3 linked regions of the Caenorhabditis elegans genome follow. The protein of the gene in region 2 interacts with the protein of the main gene of each other region in a pairwise test. Each region holds a gene or a part of one and is shown on either strand. Other genes may lie near its edges.

Region 1 (5,531 bases), on a different chromosome or scaffold from region 2:
GGTACCCACGAAATGTCGGTTGCTGGGTAGAAAACTTAGGACTCATCTTAAATAGGTCACAACTTTTTAAAAGGATTTTTTGTCGATGCACCATGTTTTCAATCAAATAATGTCAAATGAAAAACATAGTTTATTATATGTTTCTTCTTTTACAGTAGAAAATTAGTTGATAGCTTCAAAATGAAGGTGTGGGCTCGCGAAATTTTTTAAAACCGATTTTATGCCGATGCACCATGCCTAAAGTTCTTTTTTTTAGATACGCCCAAATAATGGTGCACCTGTGCCGCGCGGAGATCCTCATCTCGCTCATCTTTTTGGCTCATGGCACCACATGCCCCGGCTACCCGACAGAAGCCGAATACCAATCCACGTGCCATATGAATACGGTATCAGCAATTGTCAGCTTGCTCACCGGAGCCATGGGATTGGGCGCTGTGCATAGATATCGGTGGAGGACCATGCTAATCTTGTGGCTCGTTTTTTGTATCATGTCGGCTGTCGGAAGTCTGCTAGCTGTGATTACTACAGGTAAGAGAGTTTTTTGCCGAATGGCTTATATCTCGATCAGATTGAAAGTTGTTCAGAAATTTTTCAACAAAGTTATACTTTTTTGATATCCATTAAAGTTGAGTAAAACTAAAACAATGTCATTTTTCTTCATGGTGCATTGTTGAACATAGAAACTGATACAACAAGTTGTTTGTCAATAACTTTTGGATAAAACCAAAAAGAACTGAGATATCAACTCTCAAAATCAGGCAAACATGGTGCAACGAAAACTTCATCTTTGGTTTTATAAAAATTATTAGCTAACTTTATACACTGTTCCTTTAAAATTAACCGAGGTATGGGATTTCAATTAATTTTTTTCTCAGGCATCTGGCTCGACCACTACTCAAAAATGAAAGTCCGCACGGCAATCGGCAACGGGTTATCCGGTTTCATGCTTTTGGCATCAGTTGCTCTTGGAGTGTGCTTCATCTTGACCGCTGTCATGATTTGTCATTATTGGAACTCCAACACCACCGGCTATCAGCCAGTGCAGAAAATTGCAGTGAGTTGACAAACCTCGTTTACTTTTAAAATTATTACCAATTTACATATTGCAAAGTTAAGAAAACGTGTTTTAATTATTTCGCCAATTGAAAACTTTTTGACAAATGCAAAAAAGCTCTTAAATCACATGGTGCATCGAACCTTGTTCCAGAAATTTCCATAAACCCTTTGCAGAAACGCGCTAGATCTCTGCGCCGTCGATTGAGCCGAGCAAAGAGCTGTGACAAAAAAGATGCAAGACCTCCAACCAGCAATCCAGAAGATAAGGGTTATCATATCGTGTGATTTTTTTTGTTCTTTTTTCTAAATTCCAATTCCATTTGTTGCTCAAAACGGGTCAATTCCATCATTTCAATCCATTCTGTGTGTCTCAAAGAAATCAATAAATTCTGAAATTACACATTTATTTTACATATTTGGCGACATTAAAGGAATTATTTATAAATTATACAGATCAAGTTAAAGCGGAAAAATCATCGCATAAGCACTTCAGAACTTCTCCTCATAGCGAATTTGCTCAGCCTGTGGGTGCTCGGTAGTGTACTTGACGACGAAAGTGCTGGACTGTCCTGGCGCAAGTTGGACGGTGTAGTCGAGAATCTTCTCCGGAGTGATGGCGGCTCCGACGGTTGGCTCGACGCTTGCCTCGTCGACTTCCACGGCTTCTGGGGTGTTGAGGTGGACCTGAAAAATGGGAAATTTAGGGGCTTTTTATGTATTCAATCTTTACCTTAATTCTAGAATCTGTGGATCTTGGCAACTGCTCGCGAATGGTGAGAAGCACCGAGTTGGGGCGAAGATTAGTGACGGCAGTGGTCTTCTCGGTGACCTGAGAGTTGATCTTCTCGACGGTTCCGCTCTGTTCCTGGTAGTTTCTGACAGGCTTGTACTCGATGCGGATGTTCGGGTCGACGCCCAACGACACCTCAAACTTTTGCGATACGACCGCATCTTCGAACTCGGTCTTGTTGACGAATGCTCCGTCGAGGAAGATCGATGCCTGACCGGCGACGAGTGGGTAGTCGGAGGTGTTGACCGAGTTGGCGACGAGGAACGCGGTGGCGTTACGGGATGGGACGGTAACGTTGGAGAGCTTGGTGTCGAGTGTGAATTGTCCGATGTTCACCTTGTACTCGTCGGTGCGATCGTCGATGGTGGCGGGGCGGCCAATGCTGAACTCGGAGGCAATGTTGCTGGACTTCACAGCCGCATAGGACATTTTCATGGATTTTCTACTTCTACCCATTTCCATCATCGGAGCCGCGCAGGCCATCACCACTGAATCCTGAGCGTAACCACCTCCATAACCTCCTCTTCCACCTCTGTTACATTCTGGTTCGGGCACAACAATCGATGCCTCGAGGGCTCCGAGCTTCGGAAGTTGCTTAACTCCGTGAGCGGGTCTTGCGGTTGACAACACCAATGGCACTGTCTTCCAGTCTTCTCCACTGTACTGACGGACCTTTCCGAAGTAGGTGACGTGCATCTCAGCTTCAACACCAGCAGTGACGCGGATGTCGTAGAACGGGGTCCAGGAGACGTTGTTCACTTGGTAGGTGATGGTGAGCTGTGCAGCACCACCGGCTTCTGACTCAACAATAATACTGGCATACTGAGCAGAGTTTCTCCATCTGTATCCGGTATTGTCGTAGTCTTGGCTAGCACGGGCGTACTCTTCCTCGGCCTTTCGCAGGTCTTGATCCAGGGTTCGGATCTGAGCGCGAAGATCCACTGTTGTGTCTTGATGGAATCCGTGGAGGGCGTTGAGACTTTCAATTGTGCGCCCGTCAAAATGGAAGGCGCCGTCCTTTCCGTGCTTGGCGACTTCGGTGATCAGATTGTCAAGTCCCTCGATGCGCTTCTGTACGGCAACTCGGCTATCGGCAACCTTGTCCTTGGCGCGTTCCTTTTCCTCGAAGATCGCCTTAATTGCGAGAACCCGCTCCGGGATCACAAACTCGGCACCCTCCTGGTTCTTGACGGAGACGTCGTGGATCACAGCTTCGCCGGCTCCGGAAACACGGATCGAGTCCTGGACGAGGTCGAATGGGAGGTTCTGAAAATTTTTTTATCACATTGTGTGAGTGTTTTTATGACTTTAACTTTGACAGGTAAGGTAAATATTGGAAATTTCGATGGTTTTGTTTGCTTAGCAGTAAAAAATGCAAAAAAAAATTATTTTTTCTCGTATTTTATAGCCCTTCACTCACCTGAACTTTAACCTCATTGTAGCCATGAGCCAACTCGACCTGGAAAGTTCTCTTGAGCTCAGCGCAGTTCGAGTCGGAGCTGTAGACGAGAGCCTGGTCGATGGCGACGTCATGGAGGGTGAGCTTGTGAGTTTGCACGATGTGAGCCATTTTTTCTGGAAATTTTGAGGTAAATTTCAAGGGAAAATTTGAAAAAGTGAGGCTAAGACGAGAGTTTAACAAATAAAATTCTACAAAACTGACTATTTTCTATTTTTTTTTCAACAAAAAAAAAACACAAGCAACTTCCGAATTTCTCCCAACACAAAAAAGAAACAAACAGAAATTGAAAGTGTTCATTTTTACGTAGATCAAAAATGTTCAAAATTAACTACGATTTTTTGAATTAAAATTTCATCTTGCAAAACACTGAAAAATCTAATTAGAAAATACAGAAATTGATATTTTCCAACAAAAAAAATCACGTAATTTTCAAATTTCGCACATTTTTTAAATGTTGCTAGAATACTGTGAAATACTACAAATTACAAATTTAAAAAATTGTTTCATGATAAAATTCCCGAAATTTCAAGTTTCGCAATAATATCCGAACTTTTTCGAAAAAAAAAAATTGAAAAATGTCATTACTTTCGCTCGTTTTAGACAAAAAATTTGCAAACTAGAGCTATTTATAAATGGAAATAAAGCTTTGAAGCTATTTTTCCCCGGAACTCACCAAAAATATAGGAAACTGCGATTTTGGCAGAAAATGTATTTGAAATAAAATGAAAAAAAAAATCGAATTCCCAATAATTTTTTTTGAGTAAAATACGATATTTCACGTATTTCGCAATCTTATTTTTCGTATGTTATTTCGAGAAGTTTTCTAGTTTTGAAAAAGCCTTAAAAAAGTAAAAATGTAAGAGAAAAAGCGGAAAGCAAAGCTCAAACGATCAGAAAACCATGGGAAACCCGAAAAAAAAATCTCCATAGAGATTTGAGGGAAACACTCCTCTCAACAACTAACAAATTGTGGCGTTTTGGCCGCTCTTTTATACGAGTTTTTGGCATTTCTTTCGCTGTCTCTCTATCTCTTCACAAGAGGCAGCAGACAACACAAGAAAAAGGTCAAAATCAAGCGATGGGCGGCATTCTGTTGTGTTCCGATGAGTTTCTCTCGGTTTTTTTTTCGAAACTGAGACGAGTTCAACCTTTGACCAAGTGGCGATGAGTTTTCGTACTTGCTGTGTTGGCGAAAAAAGATCCTGCGGAAGGAGCTGTAAAACTGGGAGCACAAATCACACTAGACTACTCAATAAAAATACGAATTTCACAAACTACAGAACCACAGCTTTTTTTTTGAAAATTTCAAGACAAATCTGTGGAAAATTGATTTTTAACCTGAAAAATAGAAAAGCTTGACAGTTTTCAATATACCAAATTACAAATGTTTGCTTTTTTTCAGGTATGAACATAAATTGGATATAGTTTTTCTTTTTTTTTTTAAATAGAAATTTCAACTATTTTTTGAAGAATTAATTTTAAAATCCAAAGAAAAATACATACGTAAATTCTTTTTAAAAATCTGAAATTATTTCCCAAACTTTTACGAACATTTTTGAAAATTTCTATAATTTTCTGAAGATTTCCCGCTTAACATTTCTAATTCCACCAAATCACTCAAAAATCAAAGGTCACCGCAACTAAATCGTGAATCAAAAGATCACTTCCTCGTCGTCTCCTCAGCAGTTTCGAAACACACATTTTGCAATACATCATGGTGTTGGAAATGTTTTTATGAGTCACTGGCGCAAGACAAACAAAACAATAAAAAACCGCGAGAAGAGACTTAGAACGTTAGAAATGTTTGAGGGCATGAAGTGCGCTCAACCGACCGGGGGCTCCAGTCACACCACCTCCCGGGTGAGCACCACTTCCGCAGAGGTAGAGGGACTCGATGGGCGTTGAGTAGTTGCTCCATTTGCTGATCGGGCGGGACACGTACAGCTGGTCAAGGCTCATAGATCCGTGGAAGATGTTCTGAAGCAAATTTTGAAAATTGAGCCTTAAAAATGGGACCTACCCCTCCAGTAATCCCAAAAGTGTTCTGAATATCGGGTGGGGTCAAGATGTCATAGCCTATGACACTTGATGAAAAGTTCGGTGCATAAGCGTCTATCTCCGAGAAGACGTGTTTCGCGTATTCTGTCTTCTTTTCTTCCGTCCATTCACCGTCTTTCGGTGAGAAGGGAGTGTACTGGGTAAAGAGGAGGACGACGTGACCAT
Region 2 (5,350 bases):
AGACAATGGGTCAATCCAATGCAGACGAATGGGTGCTAAAGGGCAGAAAGAAATGGGAGAACGGATTGGAGAAAGGGGGTTATTGAGTCATGGAATGATTAAAGTAGGTTGACGGTTGTTGGTTTCGAAATTGTTGTTCTACTGAAGAATTATGAAACAGATGTTCTAGAATTTTCACGAAAAAGAAAACAATTGTGTAGAAGTGAATAAACATGTTTTTAAAATATGAATTGGCATTCTCAATGCCAAAAAATACCAAGATGCAATCAAACCATGTGTGGTTCGGTAAGAAAATTTCATCTTGCCTATAGGTATTTTGAGGTTGCCTACGCTTGCCTACTAGAGTGAACGCGAATCTTTTTTATATCGGAATTTAATTTCAAGCATGTTCCTTACTTTAGTTCGCAGCTAAATTTAGAAAATAGGCAATGGGCATGAATGTATGTCACAGGCGCCTAAAAGCCGTGCCTGTCTACCGTTGAAGTCATAAATCCTTCATAAATCCTAGTAAACTCTGTGTTACAGCTGATAGTACGGTATTCTTTATTTAAACTTAGATCTAGTTGCTAAGTTTAGTTGGATGTATTGAAATGGAGGGTTTTTTCTCAGTCTCTGGAACTGTGAAGCTTTGCTAAAAACTAATGATTCAAAATGCTAGCAATTCAAAATTGAAATCTAAATTAATGGGATTTCCAAACAAGTGAACGTAAACTAATGAGAGAGTATATTGAATGACTAGGTTAAAATGGCCTATATCCCTCCGAATCAAGTGAAAATGAGAGCCAGTATGCATCCAGAAATGACAGATACACACTCTCATCCATTGCCTTTTTCCAATTCTCAGTCATATTTTGGCGAGTGAGAGCGGCGGGCGGACACGGACACGGACAACCAGACGCACAGAGTCGGTACCAAGCAGCACCGGCCGTCTCGTACGTCTCTCTGTCCGTGCACAGTGAGAGACAGGAAGAAAAACTAGTGGAAATAGTGAGTAGGACATAGAGACGCAGACGTTTGCTAGATGAACATTTGCAACTCTGTGAGACAACTAGGAGCAAGAAAAAACGGACGATGATGTGAGACTAGAAATGTTTCAAATAATGTGTAAAAGCTGTAGGTTTTAGATTCATGAGGGTTTCGAGGAGAAACCAATCTGGCATTCAACAATAAATAGAATTAGGCCTGCCTTTTTCAAATCACAGGTTGAAGGACCGTAAATATTTGTGTCTCTAGGCATAGGTTAGGGATGGATAGAACGGTAAACAACCAAACAAACACTTTTTGAAAACTTTATTTCGAACACTTTTCTCAAGTTAAGATCCCACACGTTTTGGAGTCATTTTCAGGGGCTTCGGAGACGGAATGTACGGGATGCGAACTTCTGGGGCAGGATCCGATGGCAAGGTGGCTGGAACTGGAGCAGGGGCTGATGCGGCGGTTGTTTTGATGATGCATGGAGGATTCTTGCACGGTTTCTTGTAGAAATCTTTGTTTGCCTTCATAATCTCCAAAACATCAGGAGGAAGAAGCTGCAAAGAAGAAAATAAAAACATGTTTTGGTAAATGAAATGATAAGAGGAAATGGGTTCAAACTGACCACATCAAACTGCTTGTTGGCTTTTCCTTGGGGTGGTTTTGGAGGAGGAAGCATCACTGAATTTCCAGATTTCTTCACTCCAGCAGGTGTGCTCTGTGCACCATCGGGAGGCGGTGGAGCAGGACCAAGTGGATCAGTAGTTGTGGATCTTTCCAATGTAAGACGGACCGTTTTTGTGTTGTTGACACTCGCGTAGAGAAGCTGAAAGTAAGTTAATTACTAAAATAAAATAAGAAAAATACTACAATACCTTTCTAGCAGAGTCACGATCAAGAACATAAATGTCATTAACTTTAACAAGAATATCTCCATCCTTGACATAGTGACACGCATTGGAAGCCGATTGAACCATTGAAATAGTCACAGTTTTTGGATCAACTGCCATCTGTAAATCATCCATGAAAGTATAAATTGTCCCTGATTACTAACTCTATGAATGATAATCCCTGTTGCAGCACCTCCACGATAAGTGAAAGTCAACTCAACCATTTGAGTATTTGGACGACGTGGTGGCATTGGTTTTTCAGTGACAAGGCAATGATCGTCTCGCATGAATTCAATTGTCACTTTTCCGGGAAGTTTTGCACTAATTGCACGGATAAAGTCAGCAGTTGTCTTGATGTTCTGGAAATGTTTGATTAGTTGAAACGGAAAATCTTAAAATATTCCTTACAGTTTCTCCATTGACATTCAGAATCTCATCACCAGCAAATAGAACACCCATCAGTTGGCTACTCACATCCACATATGTAATCTGCAATGTGATTATTCAAGATCTCTTCGATTTTTGAATTGAAAATGAGTCTTTTTACAGCCTCGAAGGAAATTGCAACCGGACTTCTTATTTATTAAAGAGTGTTCTACTGTTCTACACATCAGGGCTTTTGAAGTTTTATTCGGCTCTCGACGCGAGCCCTGTGTTGGATTCTTTATTTACCTTTCCATTGACCACATCACATGCTACAACCACATTTTTCCGTTCGAATTGTACTTCTTCTTTTCCTTTTACATGAAAACTATTGTTGTTGGTTGCCATCTGTAAATAGTACGTGTCTATCTCACAGCAACCCACTCTCGCGTCTCCTGTAACTAGTCGAGCGTCTATGCCTTTGGACCCAGCGCACTCGCTGGCCTCCTTAGCTCAGTTGGTAGAGCGTGAGACTTTTAATCTTAAGGTCAGGGGTTCGAGTCCCCTAGGTGGCTTGATTTTTTGCAGTCTGAATATTAACTTACCCCGAATAGATTGATGCGAAGATGAAAGCAACTGTCGACAAGGAAATATTTGAAACTGATTCAGTTTCTCTTTTCACTTTTTATTTTCTGATTTTTTTCTGTGTAAAACGAATTCAAACGATGTCACGCGGGTATATTTATTAAATTAATTAAATTATTTATTATTAATTAAAATTATTATATTTTGATGAGATCAATGGAATGGAACAATCCAATCAGCGTTGTCTTCTGCTTTTGTCACTTTCTTTTCACTTCCTCTTACAAACTTTGAAAGTCTTGAACGAATTGTATTCAGATCTTTGCTGTATGTTGGGGCGCTGAAATTAATTAATATTAGATTATTTTCTCCTGATTTGAGTAATTCACCTATGAGCTCTAGCTTCGGACGTTGTGTCATTATCAGATTCTTCAGTTTGAACAGTTTCCATAGCTTTTTCAGCTGGTTTCATAGTTGTAGTTGTGATTCCAAGAAGACGTTGGAAACTTGGTGGCATTGTCAATGCAGGCATTGTTGGCATTCCAGGAATTGGAGTGAAAGTTGGGAAAGTATGTGGAGCAAGAGTTGGAAGAGTTGGAAGGCCTTCTGCAGACAGGACTGGTACAGGTACTGGAATGAATTGTGGAAGTGGAAGAAGTGGTGGAAGAAGTGGAAGTGTCATTGGAAGTGGTTTAGCTGGAGCTCTTTTCACTGAACGATTAGCTTTTTGAGCTGGAAGTGTAACAACTGCTGGAGCACGTCGGATTCCTGTAGAAGCTGGACGAAGAGATTTAGCAAAAGGAGCATATGCCGATAATGATGGGAGGGGTGATCTGAAGAATAGATTAAAGAAAAAATGGAATAAATGTTAAACCTTCGAACATCTCCTCTCGGTCTTAAAGCACTTGCTCTCGGTACAACTTCATAACATGCAACGAATCCTGAAATGTTGAAATTAATTGAATTTTGAAGTCAAATATATTGATCAACTGAAAATTATATAGAAGCAATTTTTCTGGACTGGTTTTTTTTGCGATTTCGTGCAAGACGAAGAAAATATGAGAATCGAAATTTGGTTATTTATAGAACGTTTCAATTTATTGACGTACAAGCAGAATTCATATTGGGTAAAATTGTTATGACTAAGAAGTTTTGGATATGTCAAATAAATTAGTTATGTATTTTTCTTAATATTTTTTAAAACAAATTTGAACATATTTTAACCCAATTAGATAAATATTTCCTTTACCATTTAGAGCTAAATTTAGGGATAAATCAACGAAACAATCGAAAAACTAACCGATGACACAAACAGCTAACAGAAGAAGCTTCATTGTTGATTCTTTCCACAAAAATGAGAAGACGAAAAAGATAGAATAAGCCTCGAAGGCGTCGCTTCTTATCACTTTTCTTCCTACGATTTCTCGTTTTGCCCTTATCAATTAGCCATCATTTTGTGGAAATCTCAATGAAAATTCCCGTTGAAAATGAAAAAAGACAATGGATATCCACCACTTGTACACTGTCTTCAATAAGATGAAAGTTCAGCTAACATTAGTTTTTACAAACAGGGATATATTGGATTATCGTGATATTGAACTTGCTAGATTTTTATTTAATTCTATGTTGTTCAGAACATTAGTGTTCGCTGTCAATTTTTAACATATACTTTGTAAAGTATCCCACTTGTGACATGGTTTTACAACAATGCTATGCAAATTTGAGGACACTCAAATAATGGGCGGGACATAGATGATACTCGAGGTGGTACTGTTATAATCGTACCATTTTTATTTTCGCAGTACAATGCGAACGTGCGTCTTCTTTTTCTGTCTACTATTCGTTATGTAAGTTTATATGAAAAAAGTTTTATTTTAAATTAAAACTTTGACACAATAAAAAGTTTCCGAAGCATCTAAAACATCTAGTGGAATCTAGATCATCTAGTTCAAAAGATTCTCCAATTGAAAAATTTGGCTGAGCTACAGAAATCGTCAAGGGAAAAATTTACAAAACTTTTTGAAATTATCAATCCAATTCTTCAAAATATCCCTTTGTATCATTACAATATATCTCAGATGCCTTGCAAGACGAGATGCCAATCAGAAGCTGAAGGCATGCTGTGCTCGACAGAAAACCGCTGACAAAATGTGCAAAAAGAGGTTCTGTGATTTTGAAGCCATTCACCAAGGAAATGTAAGAATCAGTATTTCAATTCAAAAATGTAATATATATTTAGATGCTTCACTATTTGAACACATGTGGTCCAAAAAATCAGACTGTGCAGTTGATGTGGGATTGTGCATCTTCAAGAGCCGATCATACAGAGTGTTGCAAGAAAAAGTATTCACTTTATTTAATGTAGATATTTATTTTTTTATTTCAGTAACGTTCTTCCGGCATGTCTTCCATACTGTGCAGCACAAGGAACTGTACCGAATGAGCAAGTGACACATGTATTCTGTATGCAAAACTTCAACAATATCCGCGAATGTTTCCGTTCTCACCTTGAAAAGAGACCTAATATTTTTGGAGATAATTGA
Region 3 (6,149 bases), on a different chromosome or scaffold from region 2:
TATTAATTTTTTCAGGGAGATGCTGAGACTCGTGGAGCCAAGAGAGCCGCTTCTGCTGACTGCGACGAGCCGGAGGCCAAGAAGTCGGCCGAGTAACAAGGGATGCTCCACTGCTCCACGCCACCACCATCGTCAATTTCTCCCGTCTATTTTTCAATTCAACTTTCTTATATTTTCAATACTCAATCATTCCCTTCCACGTGTGTGCCCAATATTTAAATTTCACCCAAGCGATCTCGGCGAAAAACGCCTCCTGTAAAATAAAATTTCTTTCGCTTTCAACTTTCTTTCAAACTTTCCAAGTTTTCTAGCGAACCAGCTTTCATCTTTAACACAATTAAGGCGGTTACAGTGTTGGCAAATCATAGGCTTCTGCTTGACTTCTTGCACGACTTCTGCTCAGCTAATCGTGTATGAGAAGGATATTGACTGTGATGTAAATAGCAGAGGACAAGAAACTAGAATTCGTTGAGCAATTGTTCTTATTATTGAAAACCGGAAATAATTTGAATTCGGAGCAAAATAGTTGCGTGATTTTTTTATTTCTCAATTAAAATTTTATTTAATAACCAGGCATGCCTGTTTTCGAAATCAATATATATTTGCGCCAGTAGTACGGCATCCGGTCTTGGCACGACAATTTTTTCTACTGCAAAAAGGCATGCGCCTTTAAAGAGTACTGTAATAAAAAAACTTTTGTTGCCAAGGAATTTTAGTAGTTTTTTTGTCGATTTGTTTTGAATTTTTTTTGTGTTTTTTGAACAAGAAAACCTGTCAATTCACATCCCTATCAAAAATTATTTCGTCATGTGAATTTCTTGTGACCCCAACAGTCTGTTCTAGAATCACTAGAAATTTACTAATCCAATTAGAAAATTTGTCAAAAACAGTAATGCCCAGTTTTCTTGACTTTTTGAAACTGGAATCGGAAGTGTTTAACGTTTTTGGAACAAATTAACTGTTTTTAATGTACCAATTGGGATCTCTGCATCAGGGGTGCTCAGCAAACGATTTTTCCGGCAAATCGGCAAACTGGCAAATTGGCAATTTGTCAAGTTTCCCGGTAAAACGGCAAAACGGCAATAAAAAATTGTGGGTTTACACATTTTATTTTGGAAGTTTCTGAATTTCAATTTTAACCGGCAAAAATCCTATGAATGTTCCTTCATTTTTTTTGAAAAGTAAGCAAATTCTATGAAAATATCTAGAAAAAACTGGGAAAAAATTTCAAAAAGACACAGTTTTAAGTTCATCTGTCTTATGAAAAATCCCTCTAAACACTTCCGGCAAATTGATATCCGGCAATTTGCCGAAATCGATTATTTCCGGCAATTTGGCAAACCGGTAAATTGCCGAACGGCAACTGCTTGCTCTGCATAATGCCAAAAAAAAAAGTTCTCTAAAAAAATCTATAAATTCAAATTTCAAAACCATAACAAATTCGAATGAATAAAAGCAATTTATTAACGAGATCTTATAGGGAGACTAATCACTTTTCACCTTCTTACTCAAAATTCTAGATAAAATTCGGCAAACTATTTGGAAACTGATGTAAGCTGTAATAATTGATACAAAAATTAGGAATACAATGACATCTAGGTAATAATGAGCAATTGGTCCAACTTGATTAATTTCAGGAATTTGAGATCGCAGATTTGGGAATCTGAAATTTTTTTAAAAATTATTTTCTTGCTTCAAACTAAACATCTTTCTGTAGCTTACTTTATCGCAAACTCCAAATGCTTCATCAAATTCATTACTGGATCAATTGGTTGATTGGTGAGCACATCTAGCAATTCCTTGGCCTTTTGCTCATACTTCGGATTTGTCACCAAATCTCGAACAGTTTCAGTCAGCTTTTTCCCATCTACCAAATCAAATTTATCATATGCAATAGCTCCTCCGTGCCTGGCAAGCATATCCGCATTCATGGGCTGATCTCCGAAAATCGGGACCATCAGAGCAGGTTTTCCAGTGTAAGCAACTTCCATTGTACTTCCCAGTCCTCCATGCGTTACAAATAGCTTGACACGTTTGTCAGCAAGCAAAGAAGGCTGGGGGACCCATTTCTTCAAGTGAACATTCTTTGGGAGTTTCTTCTGGAATTCCAAGTCATCTATCTCATATTTCCAGATAAATATGACATCTGGAAGTGACTCGAACACCTTGATAAGTCCTGCTTTAAAGTTTTCAGGCATTTCGTAGGATCTAATAACAGATCCAAAAGAAATCAATACAGTTGTCTCTTTTTCTTTTAGGATTATTTCGTATTCTTCTGGTAACGCATCGACATGATTCATTTTCTCCAAATTAATCGTGATCCCACCAATATGAACAATAGTTGCAGTTGTTGGAACCGCAAAGTCCAAGTATGGATTTGAATTTGTCATATAAACCGGCGCTTCCTTTACAAGATCCTTCCAATATGGTACTACATGCCCAGCAGCTTTTTCGATGACATCATTCTGATATTGAGCCATTCCTCGGAATGCCATCTTAGAAAAGAAGTCACGGTACACATCATTGAGTCGGTCTAGAAATCCAGCGTCTGGTGCCAACTTGGAGCCTTGTTGTGTTAGGTAACCAAAAGCTGATGATTGTCCAAATGCTTCATTGAAAATGTCAAGGCGGACAGCGGAGAGTATCGGAATGCAAGGGACTCCCAGGAAGTGTGACATGTCTGAAATTGAAAAGATGGATTATCGAATAAATAATTTCAAAATAGCTTAAATTTACTAAATCTCTTTATTATACTCTAGAAATGCAATTTTCAGTCAACGTTCGGTTTAAAAAAAAGAGGGGTAAATAGAGAAAAAATAAGTTTCAGAAAATTGAAGAATTCAGAAAAAATAAAGTCTTAAGACTAGTTTTCGATTTTTTTTTTATATTCAAAAAAATTGTTTGAAACTTTATATAAACTTAGTTCATAATATTTTATAGCTTTCTAAAATTAGTTTTAAATATTTGCTCAGTGGTGATTCTTGATTTTCAAATTTTTTATACGTTCCAAAAGTTAGTTTGTTCAAAGTTAATAGTTGAAAATCAAAAATTGTATGAGAAACTTTTGAGGAAAACAGGTAAATTCAATTTTTTTTGTAAACTAATGGACTTTGTGAGTTTGTTTTGAAGTTAGAATGCTTTATAATTTAGATTTTTTTAATAAATTTGCTTCAATTAATCCAAAATCTATCACTTACACATTCCAGTAAGCTCGAAAGTTTCCGAAATGGCAACATCGAACTTTTTATCCTTGAGCTTTTTGAGAATCTCTTTATCTTTTATGAGCTCTGAAAATTGAAAATTCATTTTTTAAATTCAAATTAAATTTAAAAAAATCTTACGTATTGTAGTTTTCTTGAACTCTCCACCAAGAATTCTAGGAAGCATAAATGCCATTAAAACTGGATTATTCATCAGTTGAGAGTCCCAGAAATCGGGAAATGTTTGAGTTTCGAGTTTTAACAGATCATCGTAGTGATCTGGATAGTAGTTGATGATCTAAAAAAATTAACATTTATATATACGGTAGATTGAGCTGAACCTCAATATTTTTATTCTTCACAATCCCATCCAAGTTTTTCAGCGCAAGATGAAAAGGTTGAAATAAAGTCTGCAAACAATTGAAAAAACGATTTTTTTAAATAAAAAAAACTCACAACTTCCTGCCCATGGTCTGCAATAATATCTGCTAATTTACTGACAAATTTGACATGACTAAATCCAAAAATTGGGTTAAAAATTAGAATTTTCGCTGCATAGTTGACTTTAAGTAGAAAACACAGACAAGAAAATGTCAGTAACCTCATGGCAGTAAATAAAGTGAACACAACCTTGTCTACTCTTTTATTTGCTACTTCTAGAGGGTGACCTGTGTTTTCTCTTCTCCTCCATCCCGACAGTGAACTCTTGCGATTGCGCAAAGATCACACAAATTGTCATGTTTGGCAAGTCTGGAAAGTTTTGATCGCAAAAAAACAATTCTTGAAATTGTCATCATTTGTTTTTCAAATTTGGCAACCGTTGGCAACCGACAGAATTGCCAAAAAAACTGAAAGCTAGAAAAATGTGAATGAATAAAAATTGAACTATAGATTATTCACTTTGCTATGTTTTTCAAAATCAATTTGAATTATTTTTGAATGAATAAAAAATGTAGAAACACAACAAAATTGTGAAAACTCATACCAAAACTTGGAATAAAAATTCGTCTATTTTTTAACACGTCCTAATAATTTATTTGACTGTTCAAACACCAAAAATGTATTTTCATGCAATTTCTATAATTGTTCGAAAAATCAAAACTAAATTTGTTAAAATTTTGGAACAAAAAAAAATTAAAAAGAGCTGACACACCTTTTTATACTATTCCGTTTTTTTGGCATTTTTGTAAGTTTTTTCTCGGTTTTATTTTTTTTATTTGTTAAAAACATACAATTACAAAATTAAATCAAAAATGTATGTCAAATTTGCCGAGAAAACTTTCAGAATTTTTTTTCAGTTGAATTCAGTTGTTACGATCCATTTTTCTACCATATAAAATCGAAGTACCAGAAATTTATGCTAGCTACTTTACATTCAAAGTTGAAACTTCAAAACAAAAATGCATACGCTTTTCTTCAAAAAAAAGATTTGTTCAAAATTTAGAATTTTCAAGAAAGAGAAACTTGAAGTTGTGAACATATTATGCGACACAGAAAAATAACAAACCACAAATGAACAAAATCACAGACCTGTCAGAATAAGTTAGTCAAACTTTTTGATAACTCCCTCTAGAGATCATAATTTATGATGAACATGTGAAGATGAACTTCTTTCTCTGAGTACAACCTACAAAGCGACTACGATAACTACAAGCACATCAATTCCATCAGTGGCTGTATAAAAGAAACGTTATCTGTCCTAGTCATGTAATCATGTTGCCCAATAATTTGCTATCAATTCTATTAGTTATTAGTTTGGTTTCTTGCAAAAACATATTGGTTTATAACCCAATATTTGGATATAGTCATGCTAAGTTTGTTAGTCAGCTGGCTAATATTATAGCTGATCATGGACATAATGTTGTAAGTTTTCGGAAGGCTTTCTGTAGGGTGAAGGTGGGAAAAAGTTTAAAATTCGAAAATTTCAGACAGTCTTCCAACCATTTCATATTGCCCTCAAAAACACAGATGGATTGATTAAAAATAAGAACATTGAAGTAACGAATTCCAAAAAAAAAATCAGTTGAAAATAAATTCTTTCAGATTATAAACTACTATCCAGATCACTACGCTGAGCTTTTGAAGAAGAAAACTCCAACTTTCCCAGATTTCTGGGATTCCCATCTGATGAATAACCCAGTTTTATCATCATTCCTCATGCCAAAAGCTCTTGGAGGAGAATTTGAACAAACTACTACACGTGAGAGATTCAAGAGGGATCGTAAGAATATAAAACTTTTTTCCAGAACTTTTCCAAGATCAAAAAATCCTTAACGACCTTAAAAATAGAAACTTTGATGTTTTGCTGGCTGAAACTTTCGAAATAGCAGGATTTTGTAAGCTTTCAAGAAGTATTCGCCTTTATATCATTGTAAAATTTTTCAGATATAGCTGATCTTCTTGAAATTCCAAGTATTCCACTCATGTCGGCTGTACGACTCCCAATTATTGACAGCGCATTTGGCCAGCCATCTATCCTTGGATATTTTCCACAACAATACTCCAAAGTTGCACCTGAAGCAGGATTCCTCGACAGGCTCAACGACTTGTACCGGATCTTCTTCTGGAATCTTACGACGCAACGTTTGTGCCAGTTCCAGAATGATTTCATCCAAAAAGCTATTGGTCACCCTGTACCCCATTGGAGAGATCTTGTAAAAGAATCACCAATATACATTACAAATTCAAACTCATATCTGGACTTTGCTGTTCCAACAACTGCTACCATTGTTCATGTTGGTGGAATTACCATTGACTTGGAGAAAATGAGACATGTTGCGGCTCTAACTGAAGAGTATGAGAACATTCTTGCGGAAAGAGAGTCGACGGTTTTCATATCTTTTGGATCTGTTATCAGATCTTATGAGATGCCCGATAACTTCAAAGCAGGAATCATCAAGATGTTCAAATCACTTCCAGATGTCACATTTATCTGGAAGTATGAGAAAG

What was found. The genes of interacting proteins can lie anywhere in the genome.
Region 1: the proteins of mpz-3 (region 2) and F37C4.5 interact in a two-hybrid assay, tested with the Caenorhabditis elegans proteins (one large-scale study listed by BioGRID).
Region 3: the proteins of mpz-3 (region 2) and ugt-11 interact in a two-hybrid assay, tested with the Caenorhabditis elegans proteins (one large-scale study listed by BioGRID).

The regions. Positions count from the first base shown.
Region 1 is NC_003282.8:3,870,386-3,875,916, forward strand, and holds F37C4.5 (Protein F37C4.5), read right to left. Parts: upstream 3,422-5,531; 5' UTR 3,417-3,421; coding exon 3,267-3,416; intron 3,113-3,266; coding exon 1,787-3,112; intron 1,741-1,786; coding exon 1,546-1,740; 3' UTR 1,446-1,545; downstream 1-1,445. Other genes in the region: F37C4.4 (Transmembrane protein 196), read left to right, coding at 257-528, 876-1,054, 1,231-1,341; F37C4.6 (Pyridine nucleotide-disulfide oxidoreductase domain-containing protein 2), read right to left, coding at 5,103-5,285, 5,329-5,531.
Region 2 is NC_003280.10:6,562,521-6,567,870, forward strand, and holds mpz-3 (PDZ domain-containing protein), read right to left. Parts: upstream 2,877-5,350; 5' UTR 2,831-2,876; intron 2,801-2,830; exon of another isoform or gene 2,728-2,800; intron 2,634-2,727; coding exon 2,535-2,633; intron 2,352-2,534; coding exon 2,271-2,351; intron 2,222-2,270; coding exon 2,027-2,221; intron 1,983-2,026; coding exon 1,848-1,982; intron 1,799-1,847; coding exon 1,598-1,798; intron 1,530-1,597; coding exon 1,314-1,529; 3' UTR 1,274-1,313; downstream 1-1,273. Other genes in the region: F18C5.5 (Vegetative cell wall protein gp1-like), read right to left, coding at 3,024-3,147, 3,197-3,640, 3,682-3,748, 4,108-4,141; dbd-6 (DB domain-containing protein), read left to right, coding at 4,614-4,654, 4,886-5,003, 5,047-5,150, 5,194-5,350.
Region 3 is NC_003283.11:4,891,143-4,897,291, forward strand, and holds ugt-11 (glucuronosyltransferase), read right to left. Parts: upstream 3,930-6,149; 5' UTR 3,807-3,929; coding exon 3,657-3,806; intron 3,611-3,656; coding exon 3,542-3,610; intron 3,499-3,541; coding exon 3,342-3,498; intron 3,288-3,341; coding exon 3,198-3,287; intron 2,681-3,197; coding exon 1,723-2,680; intron 1,664-1,722; coding exon 1,486-1,663; 3' UTR 1,446-1,485; downstream 1-1,445. Other genes in the region: T19H12.2 (Acidic leucine-rich nuclear phosphoprotein 32-related protein 2), read left to right, coding at 16-96; ugt-9 (glucuronosyltransferase), read left to right, coding at 4,914-5,063, 5,129-5,197, 5,244-5,400, 5,447-5,536, 5,586-6,149.